Linked DNA regions of Anolis sagrei. The protein of the gene in region 1 binds, or shares a complex with, the protein of each later gene. Links are inferred from orthologs where the notes say so. Each region holds a gene or a part of one and is shown in the gene's direction. Other genes may lie near its edges.

What was found.
Region 2: SNRPF (region 1) and SART1 share a complex: the UniProt entries of both Homo sapiens proteins name them as parts of the U4/U6-U5 tri-snRNP complex. The link is inferred for Anolis sagrei from reciprocal best matches to the Homo sapiens genes SNRPF and SART1.

Annotation. Positions count from the first base shown.
Region 1 is NC_090025.1:155,432,474-155,442,633, forward strand, and holds the start of SNRPF (small nuclear ribonucleoprotein F), read left to right. Parts: upstream 1-5,386; 5' UTR 5,387-5,531; coding exon 5,532-5,534; intron 5,535-8,376; coding exon 8,377-8,502; intron 8,503-10,160. UniProt on the Homo sapiens protein: Plays a role in pre-mRNA splicing as a core component of the spliceosomal U1, U2, U4 and U5 small nuclear ribonucleoproteins (snRNPs), the building blocks of the spliceosome.
Region 2 is NC_090032.1:21,962,697-21,973,609, forward strand, and holds the start of SART1 (U4/U6.U5 tri-snRNP-associated protein 1), read left to right. Parts: upstream 1-6,790; 5' UTR 6,791-6,844; coding exon 6,845-7,205; intron 7,206-10,913. UniProt on the Homo sapiens protein: Plays a role in mRNA splicing as a component of the U4/U6-U5 tri-snRNP, one of the building blocks of the spliceosome. May also bind to DNA.

The DNA of each region.
Region 1 (10,160 bases):
TTCTAGAACATGGCTATATAGCCTGAAAAAGTCAGAGCAACCCAGTGATTCCCGCTGTGAGAGCCTTTGACAACACATAACTCTTAATGTTTCTTGCCAATAGCGATTATTCTGTCAACCCCCCCCCCAAACAAAAATATTTTAAAAATCAGAACAAGCCTAGTGATTGTGGGTTGTATATTCCACAGACTGTCAGATTTTAAAGCTGCCTTAAATAATTATATTCTCAAATATTATTCCAGCAAGATGAGCATTAGGTTTGGGCTTACTCTCAACACATTTTCCCCAAGGATGCTGTTTTTGCATCCAGGCCTGTAATCTCTCTTGGCAGGAACCTGGCTTTTGAACGGTTTCTGTGATTTGAAGCCAGCGTTGAGTTTCGGTTGAGAAAGCATTGATGTGAAAGAGGAGCTTCCAGATTCCTCCAGGACTGATGTTCTCCCTCTTCCCTGACAACAACCCTAAATACAAACACTTTTGTTCTATTCTGCACATATACTTTAGTCCAAATAATGAATGTAAAATATGTGGAAGAAAACAATAACACAGAAATAAATACAATTTTCTCAGAAACTGCTTATGAAATCCCACCAGCAAACTGTACTGTTTTTAAATACTCTCCCAATAGGATGGCTGTTTAATCTGTGTGCGGAAGAACTGTGACAAATCCAAAGAAAAAATGCATTGCTGTTACACAATGCCAATACAAAGAAGGGCAGATTTTCAGCCTTATAAATGTGCAACCATTTATTCTATTTCGTTTGCTCAAAAATTGCCTTCATTTCCACATAAACATTTCATGCCTTGTGGACAAATGAGGTTGGTAAGATCAATACAAATGATATTCATACTGTCTTTCATAATGATAGAAATATTGGGAATATTACTTATTTCATTTATATTCTGGATTTTCTCCTAAAACTAGGGTGCATCTACATTCGAGTATTAATGCAATTTGATACCACTTTAACTGCTGTGGCCCAATGCTTTGGGGTCGTGGGAGCTGTAATTTTATGAGGTCTAGCCTTCTCTGCCATAGGTTGGTATCTCATTAAACTATCGCCCCAAGTTTTCATAAGCTTTGAGCCATGGCAGTTAAAGTGGTATCAAACTGCATTAATTCTACAGTGTAGATTATCCTTTGATTGGGGTTAAAATAAGTTAGATCGGAGTGTACTACCTCTCACACAGCTGAATAAAATCCCACATTTTCTGCTTTGAACTGGAATATATGGCAGTGTGGGCTCAGTTCAAAGCAGATATTGGGGGATTTTCTGCCATGATATTCTGGATTATACGGCTGTGTGGAAGGGCTCACAGAAAGTGCTGACCATGAATTATCTTACAGACTTCAATATTTCATAAGTGTCACATGATGTCAAGGAATACACAAAGCGAGTACACAAATGAAATAATATAACCCGGCTTACCTATCTGAACGTATTTCCCCTTATGAACCTTCTAGGATGTTAAGATCTTCTGGGGAAGCCCTGTTCTCGCTCCTGCCTACTTCGCAGTTGTGTCTGGCGGAGACGAGAGACACGGCCTTCTCAGCGGTGACCCCTCAACTGTGGAATGCCCTGCCTAGAGATATAAGATCGGTTCCCTCCCTTCTGACTTTTTGAAAGAAGGTGAAAACCTGGCTTTTTGAGCAGGCCTTCCCAAACACAGCATAGCTAAAGGAAATTATGGAACAACACAATGGAATAATGATTTGGCATGGAGACGCTCATGACAATGCTTTAAGGCTTTGTACGGTTTTTATATATTTTTATATTTTTATACTATATGTTATTGTATTTAATAGAATTTATTGACTGTTTTTACTGTTTAATTGATATGGCATGGAATTGTTGCTAATTTGTGAACCGCTCCGAGCCACCTCTGGGCTGAGAGGGGCAGTATATAAATATAGTAAATAAATAAATAATAAATAAATAACTGCCATTTCATTGTTCCTGGTTATTACTCTGCTTGTCCTTCCACCTAGCTCCCAGTTTGACATTCTATTATTTCATGTGTCTATCACTAAACACCGCCACAAATTAAGGAAGACTGACAGTTGTAGTTTTTGAGGGAGATATCACTTTGGCCTCATCTACACTGCCATATAATGCAGTTTGAAGCTGCATTGTATGTACAGTGAAGACCAGGAATGGGCAAACTTTGACCCTCCAGGTGTTTTGCACCACCGGTAGGTAGGCTGTTAGGAATTATGGAAATTGCAGTCCACAACATCTGGAGGGCTAAGGTTTGTCCATGCCTGGTGTAGACTCATGTAATGCAGTTCAATTCAGGCTGGATTTGCACTGCTGTATAATCCAGTTCAGAGCAGATAATCTGGATTTTATATGGCAGTGTAGTAGGGGCCTTAGTCCTCTAGAATGTCATTTTGGGTCACCAGCCTGCAACAGTTGTCCTGGCCACTCCTGATATGAATAGGATTATAGTCAAACCAAAACTATTTGCTGACACCTGCTGGTCAATATAAATATAGCAATTCATAGGACCCAATACATCTGATGGAAAGAGATACTAAAAATGTTCAAGTACCTAATAACAATACATTGACCATTAACAGCATTCTGATTGTAATTCTGAGACATTGGCTTCTTCATCAGACAAAGATGTTAAAAAGCATGCACAAGTAAAAGAGTGATGCTATTAGAGTCTCAGGCCTTTATTCTAACAGATGGCATGGAGAGTCTTCAATGCAGTCAAAGGCTCTTCACTGTAAAGTCTTGTGAAGACGGGAGGAAGTTGCTTCTACACTATAGAATTAATGCAGTTTGACATCATTGTAATAGCTTTCCTTTTGGTAAAAAAAAAAGTTATATTTATTTATCGTACCAGGAGCGAACCAAGGGTACAATTGTATTGCATTTTTTTTAAAAAAACAACAACATAAAGTTTGAAAACTTAGCATTATATTACATGTCTTGTCGAAGGCTTTCATGGCTGGAATCACTGGGTTGTTGTAGGCTTTTCGGGCTCTATGGCCATGTTCTAGAGGCATTCTCTCCTGATGTTTCGCTGCATCTATGGCAAGCATCCTCACAACCTCTGAGGATTATTATTTTTTTGTCGTGTCAGGAGCGACTTGAGAAACTGCAAGTCGCTTCTGGTGTGAGAGAATTGGCCGTCTGCAAGGATGTTGCCCAGGGGACGCCCGGATGATTTGATGTTTTTATCATCCTTGTGGGAAGCTTCTCTCATATCCCCGCATGAGGAGCGGGAGTTGATAGAGGGAGCTCATCCGCCTCTCCCCTGATTCGAACCTGCAACCTGTCGGTCTTCAATCCTGCCAGCACAGGGATTTAACCCACTGTGCCACCGGGGGCTCCACCTCTGAGGATGCTTGCCATAGATGCAGCGAAACGTCAGGAGAGAATGCCTCTAGAATATGGCCATATAGCCTGAAAAGCCTACAACAACCCATGTTACATGCCCTTTGACCAGTAGCTGGCCACTTGGAGTGCCTCTGGTGTTGCTATAAGAACGTCCTCCATTGTGCATGCGGCAGGGCTCAGGATGCATTGTAATAGGTGGTAATAATGATAAGGATAAAGATGATGATGATGATGATGATGATGATGATGATAGAGGTGCTTTGCAGTGGATCAATTGGCAGTTCCATCGTAACTGCTTTCCTTTCCATTGAGAATACTATCAGTGGGTTGCTGTGAGTTTTCTGGGCTGTATAGCCAGAAAATGGACATCTCTCCTGACGTTTCACCCACATCTATGGCAGGAATCCTCAGAGGTTGTGAGGTCTGTTGGAAACTAGGCAAGTGAGGTTCATATATCTGTGGATAGTCCAGGGTGGAAGAAAGAACTCTTGTCTGCTTGAGGCAAGTGTGAATGTTGCAAATGGCCACCTTGATTAGCATTGAATTGCCTTGCAGCTTCAATGCCTGGCTGGTTGCTGCCTGGGGGAATCCTTTGTTGGGATGGTAGCTGATCCTGATTGTTTCCTGCCTGCAATTCGGCAGCCAGGATGCTAACAGGAGCGGCACTCAGGGAGCACACCACTCCACTGCTGCGCCAGCTCCACTGGCTGCCAATTTGCTACCGGGCACAATTCAAAGTGCTGGTTTTAGCCTTTAAAGCCCTAAACGGTTCAGGCCCGACCTACCTGTCCGAACGCGTCTCCTCCTATGAACCAGTTAGGACATTAAGATCATCTGGGGAGGCCCTGCTCTCGATCCCGCCGGCTTCACAAGCACGCCTGGCGGGGACGAGAGACAGGGCCTTCTCAGTGGTGGCCCCTTGGCTGTGCAACGCCCTTCCTGTAGATATTAGATCGACCCCCTCCTTGCTGGCATTCCGGAGGAAAGTAAAGACCTGGCTGTTTGAACAGGCATTCGACTAAGCAGTGTGATTGATTGACTGACTATCGGAACACGGAATATTGGATAACGAGTTGGATTCTGATTTCATTGCTGAGGCCTGATGGATTTGTTATATTGATGTAGTGATGTATTGATACTGATGTTTAATGATTTGTGATGCTATTGCTTTTAAATGCTTAATGATGGACTACGCTTGGATGATGAGAAGATTGGATACGGTTGTTTTTTGTAATAATTGTGCATTGTAATTGCTTATTGGTAATTTATGGATAATGTGTTAAGTCAATTGTTTTATGTTGTATGGAACCACTGCTGTTTCTACTGTTTTTACTGTTTGTGAACCGCCGTGAGTCGCCTTCGGGCTTGAGATACAGCGGTATATAAGCAAAGTAAATAAATATTGTGTATACCTAAATTGTTGTAAACCGCTCTGAGTCTCCTAAGGGCTGAGAAGAGCGGTATACAAATAAAGTAAATAAATAAATTCCCCTGTTTTCTTGGTGTTGTTCTTTATTTACTGTCCTGATTTTAGAGATTTTTTAAAATACTGGTAGCCATATTTTGTTCATTTTCATGGTTTCCTCCTTTCTGTTTTAATTGTCCACATGCTTATGGATTTCAATGGCTTCTCTGTGTAGTCTGACATGGTGGTTGCTAGAGTGGTCTAGCATTTCTGTGTTCTCAAATAATTTGCTGTGCCCAGTTTGGTGCTCTGCTTTGGCTGACTTCTCTGTTGAAGTAGCCTTTCATATTCCTTGAGTCGTGTTTCCCAAAGGCTGGCCCCCTAGGCGTTTTGGACTTCAACTCCCAGAATCCCTGATCATTGGCCAAAGCAGCAGAGGCTTCTGGGAGTTGAAGTAAAAAAAAAGCCCGGAAGTGCCTCACTGATAATCCTAGTCTCTAAATTCCATCGAACATTGGCAGCTGTAGCCCCGCCTCTATTGTGCGAAACGAGCCAATCAGAGCGTGGCTTTCCCCCCAACAGACAGAACGCCATAGAAAGAGGGGATAAAATAAATAGCAGAAGGAGGGAAAAATGCGCGGGTGAAAGGTCATTAGGAAGACGGAACTAGCTGGACGTCACTTCCGAGTATTTCATTTAGAGCTCTGGCGGGCACACGTGCTGCCTGAGAGTAATTTTTGTGTGCTTGCAGCCTCCCCTTCCTTGGCCGGGTTGCTATGGTGAGTGCCTTTGTCTTTGGGAGGAAAGAGGGGCTTTGCTGCGGGCCTTAGGCCCTCGGGAGCCGGATCATAGTGAGGTTCAGGCGGGAGGAAGGAAGGAAAGGGCGGCTGGGAGGCCCCACAGCCTCGGATATAGTGGGCTGGGAAGCCAGCCCTTGGATACAAGCGTCCACCTGCTTGTCTCCCTCGAATACATTGGACTACAAGGCCCCTTATCCTCATGGCAGGGAGCAGTGGGTGATGGGAGTTGTAGTATTTATTTTTTATTTATTTACGACATTTATATGCCTCTCTTCTCACCCCGAAGGGGACTCAGAGCGGCTTACAAGGTATATATATACACACACACATACATACATACAATATATGATATTAATAGTACAGTACAATATCAGTATTAAATATTACTATATTGTATTATACCATTATATTTTAATATTATTAGTAATATAAATATATAATTATAATATATTAGTATTATATTGCAATGCATTATAATATTATAAATATTATATGTATATCTATCTATATAAAATGCTCTGTGCATAATGAGTACCTTAAAAACAAAAGAACCAATGAACGAAATCCCACCAAATTTGGCAACAAAATGTCTCACTACACAAGGAGTGACCATCACTCAAAAAAACTATGATTTCGTCATTTGGGAGTTGTAGTTGTTGGGATTTGTAGTTCACCTATAATCAAAGAGCATTCTGAACTCCACCAACAGTGGAATTGAACCAAACTTGGCACACAGGTTTGGTGGGCATTGACCTTGAGTTTGGGAATTGTAGTTCACCTACATCCAGAGAGCACTGTGGACTCAAACAATGATGGATCTAGACCAAACTTGGCATGAATACTCAATACGCCCAAATATGAACACAGATGGAGTTTTGGGGAAATAGACCTTGACATTTGCGAGTTGTAGTTACTGGGATTTATAGTTCTCCTGCAATCAAAGAGCATTCTGAACCCCACCAACGACAGAATTGGGGCAAATGAACCCCCATGACCAACAGAAAATATGTAAGGCCATCCAGTCCAACTCCCTTCACCAGGGCAAGAAAACGTAATCAAAACCCTCCTGACAAAGAGCCATCCAGCCATAGATATAGATAGATATATATGATTCACACACACACAAATATAATATTATAGATTTGAAAGGGACCCCTAAAGTAGGACAATGTTATGTTGCATGTTCCAGGGTGGGCAAACCATACACTCTCCACATCAACACTGACAAAGAAACAACAAGAAATACTGTTTACCCACAAGCAGAAAGAAATTACATAGATTAGAAACCATTACTTTATTTTTCAGATCACCAGACTGGGCCACAGCAATGCGTGGCAGGGGACAGCTAGTATAATTATAATATATTAGTATTATATTGCATTACATTATATATATATATAAATTAGAATAGCACAGGAGACAAGGTGGAACTGTCTTCTACTCCCCTCTGTCTTCACTCTGGCCCAGAGCAGCAGTTGGTACTTGGGGGAGGGGTCCCCAACTGATGACGCAGTGTATAGAGGAATGTCAGGTTTGGATCACACTGTAGATCAGGCACAGGCAAACTTCAACCCTTCCGGTGTTTTGGACTTCAATTCCTAACAGCCGGTAGGGTTACAGCCTGTGCTTGACAGGGTTACATTCCCCCTGAAGGTGCAGGTGTGATCCTGGACTCATCGCTGAGCCTGGAACCCCAGGTTTTGGCGGTGGCCAGGAGAGCTTTTGCACAGTTAAAACTTGTGCACCAGCTGCACCCGTACCTTGGGAAGCCTGAATTGGCCATGGTGGTCCACGCTCTTGTTACATCCCAAATAGACTACTGCAATGCACTCTACATGGGGTTGCCTCTGAAGACTGCCCGGAAGCTTCAACTAGTCCAACGTTCGGCAGCCAGATTGCTCACTGGGGCTGGGTACAGGGAGCTCACAGCGCCCTTGTTACGCCAGCTCCACTGGCTACCTATCAGCATCTGAGCACAATTCAAAATCCTGGCTTTGGCCTATAAAGCCCTGAACGGTTCTGGCCTAGTTTACTTGTTCAAACGTATCTCCCGCTACGATCCACCTAGGGCCCGAAGATCATCTGGGGAGATCCTGCTCGTTGTTCCCCCATTGTCACAATCGCATCTGGCGGGGACCAGGGGCAGGGCCTTTTCTGTGGTGACCGCCGGCTATGGAACTCCCTCCCGAGTGAAATTAGATCCCCTGCATCCCTCTTCACCTTCCAGAAACAAGTAAAATCTTGGCAATGCGATCAGGCCTTTGTAGATTAGGCTGACTTGCTGACGTGTTGACTTATACAGAACTGATGGACTCCCCTTGGATGATGATTTAAACCGGTGACCACTGACTGATTGATTGATCGTTTTTATACTGTTATTACTGTTATTGTTATTATATTGCCGTTAAATTGTGTATTTATGTTTTTGATGTGGGCGCCATGGTGTGCCGATTTGTTAGCCATCCTGAGTCCCTCTGCTGAGGTTGAGATAGGGTGGGATATAAAAGCCCGAAATAAATAAATAAATAAATAATAAGAGGTTGTAATTTCAAACAGTGGGCTACATTTTTTTTTTGATCCAATGTAGTTCTTAAAGTTCTGCTTTGACTTTAAACTGAGGCTATTGAAAATTGTGAGGCATAAAGCTTTAACAACTGATCAGGAACATACATTACCATATGAGAAGCAGTATATTTCTGTGAAAGAACACAAGTGATGTCCTCATGCATTGCTTTCTTTATGCATCTAGTATTCAGCGTGTGAGTAGAATGCCTTTTTTCTGATTTATCAGATTTCTTACATTCCACTTTGTCCCATGCAGAGTTTGCCTCTCAATCCAAAGCCCTTCCTAAATGGGCTGACTGGGAAGCCAGTGATGGTGAAATTGAAGTGGGGAATGGAATATAAGGGCTACCTCGTGTCTGTTGATGGCTACATGAACATGCAGGTAAACGGTTGCAGGAGAAAACCCAATGGAAATAACTTCTTAGTACAGGGACAAGTATCCAAGCATCCTATATTGTAGGGACAAAATGTTTACGGTGCTTTACTGTTTAGATGCAGCAATAATTTGGATGTGAGTAAATAAGATTTAAAGGTGTTGCTCAGTCAGAGAGCTTAACTCTGTTCAGTAATGGGATTGCATCCCCTTGAAATATCAGGCACATAGTTTAAGAATACCTTTGTGGTCTGCTTTCATGCTAAATGTTTAGATGGCAGTAATGGCCAGGAAGTCTTTTGCACAGTTTTTGATAATGTGCTAGACATGCTAGATAAATCAAATAGTCAATGTTATTCATGCCCTCATCAGAACTTGCTGACCAAAAGGTTGGCACTTCGCAACCGGGGAATGGGTGAACTCCCACTGTTAGCCCCTGCTTCTACAGGAAGGTAACGGCACTCCATACAGTCTGGCACATGACCTTGGAGGTGTTTGCGGGCAACGCAGGCTCTTCGACTTAGAAATGGTGATGAGCACCACCCCCTAGAGTCTGACATGACTAGACTTAATGTCAAGGGGAAACCTTTACCTTAATACACTCTACGTGATGTTTTCTTTTAAAGTTATTTGGAAACATTCAAGTAGTACTAAACATGACGGCCAAATTTATTTGTGAATTTACTTGCATAGTACTCCAATTTTATCTGATTTCTACTGGCTTCTGTATTTTTTTAAAAAAAATCAACTTGTTAATAAAAAGCAAATACAAGGTTTCATGAACATGGGATGAAAGTGAAACAGTTTAATTTAATATAATGGGTCCCTGGATGCTCTTGGAACAGCTTGCAAATTTTGGAGGAAACACTCAACCTATTTGTCTTGCATTCAGGTGATCTATCAGGAGTTAAGGGGGAATGTTGTTTTACCATTGTTCTTTGTAATGTTAAGACAAATCTGGTGAGAGAGGTGAAAGTCTTTCCCAACCTACAGCAATCCCAATTCCAAGACTTTTGTCATGGAAGTGGAATTGCAAGTAATTTCAGTGGCAAATGCTGAGGGATAGGAGATACTTTCATTACCACCTCTCCTGGCCATCTGTAGATATTAATAGGCAAGGAATGGAGATTTAAATCTCATGGGATGGTGTGTGTGTGCATGTGCGTGCATATATGTGTGGCCCCTAGCAGGAGATAAGATGCAGCAAGCAGCCTTTCAGGCTGTGTCTACCTTTTATTGCATAGTTTTCAATTAGTAGGATCTATTAATAGTGTCTTTAGATTTTGAGACAAATTTTATGATTATTATTTTTATTATAGTTATTTTAACTTGTACTAAACCAGAGTTTCTTAAACCTTTTCCAGCAATGACCCTTTCCATCCAATAATTTTTTGCATGACCCCATATATATATATAGGTATATAAAACAGGTATAAAGACCAAACATTTACTGATAATAAATCAGCGGCTCCAAGGCTTGTTGCACAGGCTAATTTTGCTTTTGGGGGAGCAGCTGAAGCATCTTCTGCAGAGTTTATTGTAAACACGGCATGCTGTTGCTAACAGATTGCTGTAAATGGGTGGTATTCAGAAGCCTTTTATTCTTGCCAAATTTTTGAGACCCCAACATTGAGCTAAGGGGATCCCATCTGGAGTAGTGACCCACA
Region 2 (10,913 bases), on another chromosome or scaffold:
CTATGCTGACGATCGTGCCATCACCACCCAAGTTTGCTGTAGTGTGCTGTTACCAAAATAGGTTCGGAAATCTTTCCATATGGATACGGGACTTGTATGGTAGAACACTTTGAAAACCATAACTTGCAGCCCTCCTCCTGAAAAAAAATGTATAATATCACAAAGGATGACCATCTCGCCCGTTTCATAGGAAATCTGCTTCAAAACAGGAGCTTTTTTGTTGAGTTCCAGGGCCAGAGAAGCAGATGGCGGAAACAGAAGAACGGCCTGCCTCCGGGGAGCGTGCTTGCTCCATCCATGTTTAACGTTGACACAAATAACCAGCCATTGCCAGAAGGGACAGAAAGTTTAATCTACGCTGACGACAGTGCTATCACCGCCCAAGCAGGGAGCCTTGAAATGGTTGAACAGAAGCTCTCCGAAGCTTTAGGTCGGTAGTTCTCAACCTTCCTAATGCCTCTTAATAAAGCTCCTCATATTTAACATTTATACCAATGACCAGCCACTGCCAGAAGGGACAGAGAGTTTCATCTACGCTGATGATCATGCCATCACCACCCAAGCAGGGAGCTTTGAAATGGCTGAACAGAAGCTCTCCAAAACTTTCGATGCTCTTAACTGCCTCTTACAGGGAAAACCAGCTGATCCCAAATCCACCTAAAACACAGACATGTGCCTTTCCCCTTAAGAACAGATAAGCATCCCGAGCTCTGAGGATTATGACCTGGGAAGGAATCCCACTGGAGCATTGCAACGCACCCAAATACCTGGGAGTCACCCTGGACCGTACTCTGACCTACAAGAAGCACTGCCTGAACATCAAGCAAAAAGTGGGCGCTAGAAATATCATACGAAAGCTGACTGGCACAACCTGGGGTTCACAACTAGACACAGTGACGGCATCTGCCCTTGTGCTTGTCTACGCTGCTGTGAGCATGCAGCAGAGTAGCAACGATCTATATGAAGATATATCTAATCAAAAGCAATAGATCTATGTGAAGATATATATAAATTATATATATATATAAATTATATATATAATTATATATATAAGATATATATAAATAATTATAAGATATATATAATTATAAGTTATAGATGAAGATCTATACAATCAAAAGCAAAGACATATATGAAGATATATATATATAGATATATATAAAAATCAAAAGCAATATATTGCAATATAATAATAACATAATATAAAATAATAATTGTAATTTAACATATATAACTAGAATAATATCTTATAATCATTTCAATCCAATAATGTAACTTAGGAAACGCTGCCATTCGTTCCTAAAGAAAACACCACAAAATTTACTCTCTTTTTATATATTATTTTTATTTTTATTTAATATTTTTCCCCCAAAAATAAAAAAAGTTCCAAATATCTCTTTATTTACATCTGAAGTTGAGCAACAGCGCCACCTGGAGGCCACTGGGTTGAAAAGCACCTCTGCGGCAGAATCATAATAATAGTAACCTCAAAGAGGTATCAAACTGGGTTAACTCTGCAGTGCAGACATACCCAGAATATATATGTGTCCGCGTATCTCCCTCCCTCTCCCTCCAGGTCTTCAATACACGGCCTCGTCCATGTTGTCGTCGCTGTCGGCCCCGAAATCCTCTCCGTTGTCGAAATAAGTAGTCCGTTTAACCTCAGCAGACTGAAAGCCAAAACCAAAGTCACAACAACATCCGTTATAGAACTCCAGTATGCTGATGACAATGTCGTCTGCGCGCATTCAGAAGAAGACCTACAAGCCACTCTCAACACCTTCACAGAAGCATACGAGAAGCTTGGCCTGTCATTGAACATCGAGAAAACCAAAGTGCTCTTCCAGGAGTCACCAGCCAACCCCTCCCCAATGCCAGAGATACAGCTTAATGGTGTAACATTAGAAAATGTTGACCATTTCTGCTAACTTGGCAGCCACCTCTCCGCCAAAGTCAACATCGACACTGAAATACAACACTGCCTAAGCTCTGCAAGTGCAGCATTTTTCCGAATGAAGCAGAGTGTTTGAGGACCGGGACATCCATAGGGATACCAAGGGGCTTGTTTATAAAGCTATTGTCCTCCCAACCCTGCTTTACGCCTGTGAAACGTGGACTGTCTATAGTCATCAACATTGACAACGAAATACAACACTGCCTGAGCTCTGCAAGTGCAGCATTTTTCTGAATAAAGCAGAGAGTGTTTGAGGACCGGGACATCCGTAAGGAGACCAAGGTGCTTGTCTATAGAGCCGTTGTCCTCCCAACCCTGCTCTATGCCTGTGAGACGTGGACAGTCTACAGACGTCAACATTGACACTGAAATACAACACCGCCTGAGCTCTGCAAGCGCAGCATTTTCCCGAATGAAGCAGAGAGTATTTGAGGACTGGGACATCCGTAGGGAGACCAAGGTGCTTGTTTATAGAGCTATTGTCCTCCCAATCCTGCTATATGCCTGTGAGATGTGGACTGTCTACAGACGTCAACATTGACACTGAAATACAACACCGCCTGAGCTCTGCATTTTCCCGAATGAAGCAGAGAGTATTTGAGGACCGGGACATCCGTAGGGAGACCAAGGTGCTTGTTTATAGAGCTATTGTCCTCCCAATCCTGCTATATGCCTGCAAAACGTGGACTGTCTACAGACGTCACATGCAACTCCTGGAACGATTCCATCAGCGCTGCCTCTGGAAAATCCTGCAAATCTCTTGGGAAGACAAGCGGACCAATGTCAGCGTGCTGGAAGAAGCAAAGACCACCAGCATTGAAGCGATGGTCCTCCGCCACCAACTCCGCTGGACCGGCCATGTTGTCCGGATGCCTGACCACCATCTCCCAAAGAAGTTGTTCTACTCCGAACTCAAGAAAACGGAATGTTGGAGGGCAGGAAAAGAGTTTCAAAGATGGGCTCAAAGCCAACCTCAAAAACTCTGGCATAGACACTGAGAACTGGGAAGCCCTGGCCCTTGAGCGCTCCAGCTGGAGGTCAGCTGTGATCAGCAGTGCTGCAGAATTCGAGGAGGCACAAATGGAGGGCGAAAGGGAGAAACGTGTCAAGAGGAAGGTGCATCAAGCCAACCCCGACCAAGACCGCCTTCCACCTGGAAACCGATGCCCTCACTGTGGGAGAAGATGCGGGTCAAGAAGAGGGCTCCACAGCCACATACGGACCCACAAGAATATTGGAAGACAATCATCCTCGGAAAGCGAGGGATCGCCTAAGTAAGTAAGTAATATATTAATAGTAAAGGTCAGGGTGTTTTAAATATATGATTATTATATGTAATATTATATATTGTTATATTATTATATACAATATTATTATATATTGTTATATTAATAGTAATAATATTGCAATTTAGGATATATCATGATATTATTGTCATATAGTAATAGTAAAGGTAATGGTGTTTAAAATATATTATTATATATAATATTATTATATATTTTTATATTAATAGTATTACAAAGTAATAGCGTTTTTAGTATTTCTTATGGTCTATCTGTCGCCATGTTGTTGTTCATTCGTTCAATCGTCTCTGACTCTTCGTGACCTCATGGACCAGCCCACGCCAGAGCTCCCTGTCGGCCGTCACCACCCCCAGCTCCTTCAAGGTCAGTCCAGTCACTTCAAGGATGCCATCCATCCACCTTGCCCTTGGTCGGCCCCTCTTCCTTTTGCCTTCCACTTTCCCCAGCATCATTCCCTTCTCTAGGCTTTGCTGTCTCCTCATGATGTGGCCAAAGGACTTCCACTTTGTCTCTAGTCTCCTTCCCTCCAGTGAGCAGCCGGGTTTTATTTCCTGGAGGATGGACTGGTTGGATCTTCTCGCAGTCCAAGGCACTCTCAGCACTTTCCTCCAACACCAGAGTTCAAAAGCATCTCTCTTTCTTTGCTCAGCCTTCCCTCAGGTCCAGCTCTCACATCCGTAGGTGACTACAGGGAAGACCATGGCTTTGACTAGGCAATGGATCTTGGTTGCCAGTCTGATGTCTCTACTCTTGACTATCTTATCAAGACTGGACATTGCTCTCCTCCCAAGGAGGAAGCGTCTCCTGATTTCCTGGCCACAGTCTGCGTCTGCACTCATCTTTGCGCCTAGAAATGCAAAGTCTGTCTCGGCCTCCACATTTTCTCCCTCTATTTTCCAGTTGTCAATCATTCTTGTTGCCATAATCTTGGTTTTTTTGACGTTTAGCTGCAACCCGGCTTTTGCGCTTTCTTCTTTCGCCTTGATGAGAAGGCTCCTCAGCTCCTCCTCGCTTTCGGCCATCAGAGTGGTGTCATCTGCATATCTGAGGTTGTGAATGTTTCTTCCAGCAATTTCCACCCCAGCTTTGCATTCCTCAAGCCCCGCACATCCTCGCATGATGTGTTCTGCATACAAGTTAAAAAGGTTGGGTGAGAGGATGCAGCCTTGCCGGACGCCTTTCCCAATCTGGAACCTGTCTCCTGTTCCGTGGTCAGTTCTGACTGTTGCTCCTTGGTCCTTGTACAGATTCCTCAGGAGAGAGGGGAGGGGGCTTGGGATGCCCATCCCACCAAGAACTTGCCACAATTTATGATGATCCACACAGTCAAAGGCTTTAGAAGAGTCAATGAAGCAGAAATAGACAAGAAAGAGGTCCTCCTGGTCGATCGTAAACCTGACCGGGGTATAGGGTGGCAACCTGTGTTGGACGGGGTTACACTCCCCCTGAAGCCACAGGTCCGCAGTTTGGGAGTCCTCTTGGATTCATCACTGACGCTTGAGGCTCAGGAGTCGGCGGTGTCCGGAAGGGCTTTTGCACAACTGAGACTCGTGCGCCAGCTGCGACCGTACCTCGCGAAGGCTGATCTGGCCTTCTAGTCTGATCCTCTAGACTGGATTACTGCAATGCGCTCTATGTAGGGCTGCCCTTGAAAACGGCTCGGAAATTCCAATTGGTCCAACGGGCAGCAGCCAGGATGTTAACTGGTGCTCCTTACAGAGAGAGGTCAACCCTCCTGTTTAAGGAGCTCCACTGGCTGCCATTTATTTTCCGAGGCCAATTTAAGGTGCAGGTGCTCACCTACAAAGCCCTGAACGGTTTGGGACCACCCTACCTGCGTGACCGCATCTCCATCTATGAGCCCACATGCTCACTCCGGTCATCTGGAGAGGCCCTGCTCGTGATCCCGCCTGTGTCGCAAGCGCGCTTGGTGGGGACGCGAGACAGGGCCTTTTCTGTGGTGGCCCCCCAACTCTGGAACACCCTCCCAAGGGATCTTAGACAGGCCCCTACATTGGCAGTCTTCAGGAAGAACCTGAATACCTGGCTGTTCCGATGTGTCTTTTCAGATTAGGAACCTCAATACCAAGTCCTTGATGCACTTTAGTAGAACCATGATCTCTACACACCGCACACTGCACTTATTTTAAAACCCTATATTCCTCCCGCAATATCAGCACTTTTAATCCTGTACCCACTACTCTGGCCGGCCCAGTTTTAATAATTGTTTTGATGTATTGTTACTGTTATTGTTTACTCTGCTTAACTATTTTTAATTTGCTTTATGTATTGTATTGTTGTATTGTGTTTTGAGGCCTCGGCCTATGTAAGCCGCATTGAGTCCCTTGGGAGATGCTAGCGGGGTACAAATAAAGTTATAAGAATAATAATAATCCCTCAGTTCTTGTGGGTTTTTTCGGGCTATATGGCCATGTTCTAGAGGCATTTCTCCTGACGTTTCGCCTGCATCTATGGCAGGCTTCCTCAGAGGTCTGCCATAGATGCAGGCGAAACGTCAGGAGAAATGCCTCTAGAACATGGCCATATAGCCCGAAAAAACCCACAAGAACTGAGGGATTCCGGCCATGAAAGCCTTTGACAATAATAATAATAATAATAATAATATATTTTTCTGAAACTCCCTGCTTTTCTCCAGCATCGGGATATTGGCAATCTGGTCTCTGGTTCCTTTGCCTTTTCTAAACCCAGCTTGAACATCTGGCAACTCTCGCTCCATGTCTTGCTGGAGTCTTCTTCCTTGCAGGGAGACCTTTCTAGGGATTTTCGCAACAGGCCGGAACCTTTCTTTTCCCCGGAAGTGAGTCTCATCAGGATTATTTTGGTGACGGACCGGAAGTGTGAGCCTATCAGGGGACTTTCGCAACAGACCGGAACCTTTCTTTCCCCGGAAGTGGGTCTCATCGGGATTATTTCGGTGACGGACCAGAAGTGAGAGCCTATCCGGGGATTTTCGCAACATACCGGAACCTTTCTTTCCCCCGGAAGTGGGTCTCATCGGGATTATTTCGGTGACGGACCAGAAGTGAGAGCCTATCCGGGGATTTTCGCAACATACCGGAACCTTTCTTTCCCCCGGAAGTGGGTCTCATCGGGATTATTTCGGTGACGGACCAGAAGTGTGAGCCTATCCGGGGATTTTCGCAACATACCGGAACCTTTCTTTCCCCCGGAAGTGGGTCTCATCGGGATTATTTCGGTGACGGACCAGAAGTGAGAGCCTATCCGGGGATTTTCGCAACATACCGGAACCTTTCTTTCCCCCGGAAGTGGGTCTCATCGGGATTATTTCGGTGACGGACCAGAAGTGAGAGCCTATCAGGGGACTTTCGCAACAGACCGGAACCTTTCTTTCCCCCGGAAGTGGGTCTCATCGGGATTATTTTGGCGACGGACCGGAAGTGTGAGCCTATCCGGGGATTTTCGCAACAGAGCAGAACCTTTTTTTCACCCGGAAGTGAGTCTTATCGGGATTATTTTGGTGCCTGGCCGGAAGTGTGAGCCTCCCCTCAGTGCAGAGTCAAGGAAGCGTCTCTGTGGAGCGGAAGCGCGGCCATTGTCCGCCGCGATGGGCTCCTCGAAGCGGCACCGGGAGCGGGGCGAGGCCCCTGAGGAGAATCCGCCTCCTTCCTCCGGGGCTCCGCCGGCCTCGTCTTCCTCCTCGTCGTCGTCCCGGCACCACCGGGAGCACAAGAAGCACAAGCACCGCAGCGGAGGGGGAGGCGGAAGCGGAGGAGGAGGAGGGAGCAGCGGCGCCGGGAGCAAGCGCAGCGGGAGCCGGGCCGAGCGGAGCCGACAGCGGGGAGGAGGCGGAGGAGGAGGAGAAGAAGGCCCGTCCTCGTCGTCCTCGCAGCGGAGGCAGGAGGGCGAGCGGAGGCCCAAGAGGGAGAAGCGCGGAGAGGCCCACGAGCAGGCCCCACAGGGAGCAAGTGAGGAATCATCATCATCATCATAACAATAATAACTAGCTGTCCCCGCCACGCATTGTTATGGTCAACCTTCCTTCCCTCTTTCCTTCCTTCCCTCCCTCTTTTTCTTTCCCTTCTTCTTTCTTCCTTCCCTACCTGTTTCTTTCCTCACTTCCTTTGCTCTTTGGTTCCATCCTTCCTTGTCTCTTTCCTTCCTTCCCTCCCTCTTTCTCTCTTTCATTCCTTCTCTCCTTCCTTCCCTCTCTCTTTCCTTCTTTCACTTTTTAATTCCTTCTCTCCTTCCTTCCTTCTCTACTTTTCTTTCCTTCCCCCCTCTTTTTCTTTCCCTTCTTCTTTCTTCCTTTTCTACACTTCTTTCTTTCCTTCATTTTCTCCTTCTCTCCTTCTCACTTCCTTTGCTCTTTGGTTCCATCCTTCCTTGTCTCTTTCCTTCCTTCCCTCCCTCTTTCTCTCTTTCATTCCTTCTCTCCTTCCTTCCTTCCCTCTCTCTTTCCTTCTTTCACTTTTTTAATTCCTTCTCTCCTTCCTTCTCTACTTTTCTTTCCTTCCCCCCTCTTTTTCTCTTTGTTCCTTCTCTCCTTCCCTCCCTCTTTTTCTTTCCCTTCTTCTTTCTTCCTTTTCTACACTTCTTTCTTTCCTTCATTTTCTCCTTCTCTCCTTCTCACTTCCTTTGCTCTTTGGTTCCATCCTTCCTTGTCTCTTTCCTTCCTTCCCTCCCTCTTTCTCTCCTTCCTTCCCCCCCTTTCCTTCTTTCACTTTTTTAAATACTTTCTTCCTTCTTTGCCTTTCTCTCCTTCTTTCTTTCTCTCCTTCCTTCCCTCCCTCTTTTTCTTTCCCTTCTTCTTTCTTCCTTCTCTACCTGTTTCTTTTCTCGCTTCCTTTGCTCTTTGGTTCCATCCCTCCTTGTCTCTTTCCTTCCTTCCTTCCCTCTTTCTTTCATTCCTTCTCTCCTTCCTTCCCTCTTTCACTTAGTTTATTCTCTCATTCCTTCCTTCTCTACCCTTCTTTCTTTCCTTCTTTCTCTCCTTCCCTCCTTCCTTCTCTTTCTTTCCTTCCTTCCCTCCTTCCCTCTTTCTTTCCCTCTTTCTGTCTCTCCTTCCTTCCCTACCCTTCTTTCCTTCCTTCTCTCCTTCCCTCCTCCTTTCCCTCTTTCTCTCCTTCCTTCCTTCTCTACCCTTCTTTCTTTCCTTCTTTCTCTCCTTCCCTTCTTCTCTCCCTCCTTTCTTCTCTTTCTTTCCTTCTTTCTCTCCTTCCCTTCTTCTCTCCCTCCTTTCTTCTCTTTCTTTCCTTCTTTCACTCCTTCCCTCTTTCTCTCCCTCCTTCTCTCCTTCCTTCCTTCTCTACCCTTCTTTCTTTCCTTAATTCTCTCCTTCCCTCCTCCTTTCCCTCTTTCTTTCCCTTCTTCTCTCCTTCCTTCCTTCTCTACACGTCTTTCTTTCCTTCTTTATCTCCTTCCCTCCTTTCCGTTCTTCTCTACCTCCTTCCTTCATTCTCTTTCTTTCCTTCATTCTCTCCTTCCCTTCTTCTTTCCCTTCTTCTCTCCCTCCTTCCTTCTTTTTCCTTCCTTCTTTCCCTCCTCCTCTCCTTTTTTCCTTCCTTCTCTACCCTTCTTTCTTTCCTTCCTTTTCTCCTTCCCTCCTTTCCCTTCTTCTCTCCCTCCTTCCCTCTCTTTCTATCCTTCTTTCCTTCCTTCCTTCTCTACCCTTCTTTCTCTCCTTCCTTCCTTCTGTACCCTTCTTTCTTTCCTTCTTTATCTCCACCCCTCCTCCTTTCCCTCCTCTCCTTTTTTCCTTCCTTCTCTACCCTTCTTTCTTTCCTTCTTTCTCTCCTTCCCTCCTTCCTTCTCCGCAGGAGGCCCAAGCGGGAGAAGCGCGGGAAGGCCCATGAGCAGGCCGCCCAGGGAGCCGGTGAGAGAGCAGGGGAAGCTCCAGGCGTCTCCCTTCTTGCCTCCTTCTTTCCTCCTCCCTGCTCTTTTTTTTCCTTCTTCTGCCCTTCCTTCTTTCTCCCCATTCTTCTTTTGTCCTTCTCCTCCTTCTCAATTTATTTATTTATGTATTTACTAGCTATCCCCTGCCAGGGCGTTGCTGTGGCCCAGTCTGGTGATCTGGAAAATCTATCTATATAAATAAAAATGTCATATTTATTTGTGGCATTAACGTAACTCAAAAACCACTGGACAAATTGACACCAAATTTGGACACAAGACACCTAACAACCCAATGTATGTCCTTCACACAATTTTTTTTGAAACTTTCATTTGGGAGTTGTAGTTGCTGAGATTTATAGTTCACCTACAATCAAAGAGCATTCTGAACCCCACAGACGATGGAATTGAGCCAAACTTGGCACACAGGACTTCCATGACAAACAGAAAATACTGGAAGGGTTTGGTTGGAATTGACCTTGAGTTTGGGAATTGTAGTTCACCTACATCTAGAGAGCACTGTGGACTCAAACAATGATGGATCTGGACCAAACTTGGCACAAGCACTCAATACACCCAAATATGAACACAGATGGAGTTTGGGGGAAATAGACTTTTGACATTTGGGAGTGGTAATCACTGGGATTTATAGTTCATCTACAACCAAAGAGCATTCTGAATCCCATCAGCGATAGAATTGGGCTAAACTTCCCACGCAGAACCCCCATGACCAACAGAAAGTACTGAAGGCCATCCAGTCCAACTCCCTTCACCAGGGCAAGAAAACCCAATCAAAGCCCTCCTGACAAAGAGCCATCCAGCCATAGATAGAGATAGATATGCTTCACACACAGAGAGATATATTATCATAGCTTTGAAAGGGACCCTTGAAGAAGGACTATGATATGTTGCCTGTTCCAGGGTGGGCAAACCAGACACTCTCCACATCAACACTGACAAAATAAACAACAAGAAATACTGCTTACTCACAAACATAAAGAAATTACATGTATTAGAAACCAGCACTTTCTCGTTACTTTACTTTTGAGATCACCACACTGGACCACAGCAACACATGGCAGGGGATGGCCAGTATCTATATAAATAAAAATGTAATGCTCGTTTGTGGGATTAACATAACGCAAAAACCACTGGACGAATGGACACCAAATATGGACAAAATACACCTGTGAGGCCAACAAGTGACCATCACTCATAAAAACACTGAAAAACACTACAGAAGAGACTTTAAAAGACAAAAAAATAAAAATACGTTACAACGCATGCACAAAACCACATATATAAACAAACACACATATATACACACATATATGCATGTATATATACACACAAAACACATATACACAGAAAGGGGGAAGGAAGGAAAGAGAGAAAGAAGGGGGAAAGGAGAGAAGGAAGGAAAGAAAGGTAGAGAAGGAAGGAAGGAGAGGATTTCCTCTTTCTCCTGAGGTGGCAGGCAGATGTAGTAAGCAACAGCCAGGAGACAGGTGTTTGTAAAGTCTCTTCCTCCGTCCCCTTTCTCCTCTTAGCAGGCTAGGGAGGGGGAGAGTAGTACCAGGATTTTTTCCTTCTCCTCCTGAGGTGGCAGGCAGATGTAGAAAGCAACAGCCAGGAGACGGGTGTTTTTAAAGTCTCTTCCTTAGTCTCCTTCCTCCTCTTAGCTGGCCTGGGAGGGGGAGAGTAGTACCAGGATTTTTTCCTTCTCCTCCTGAGGTGGCAGGCAGATGTAGTAAGCAACAGCCAGGAGACAGGTGTTTGTAAAG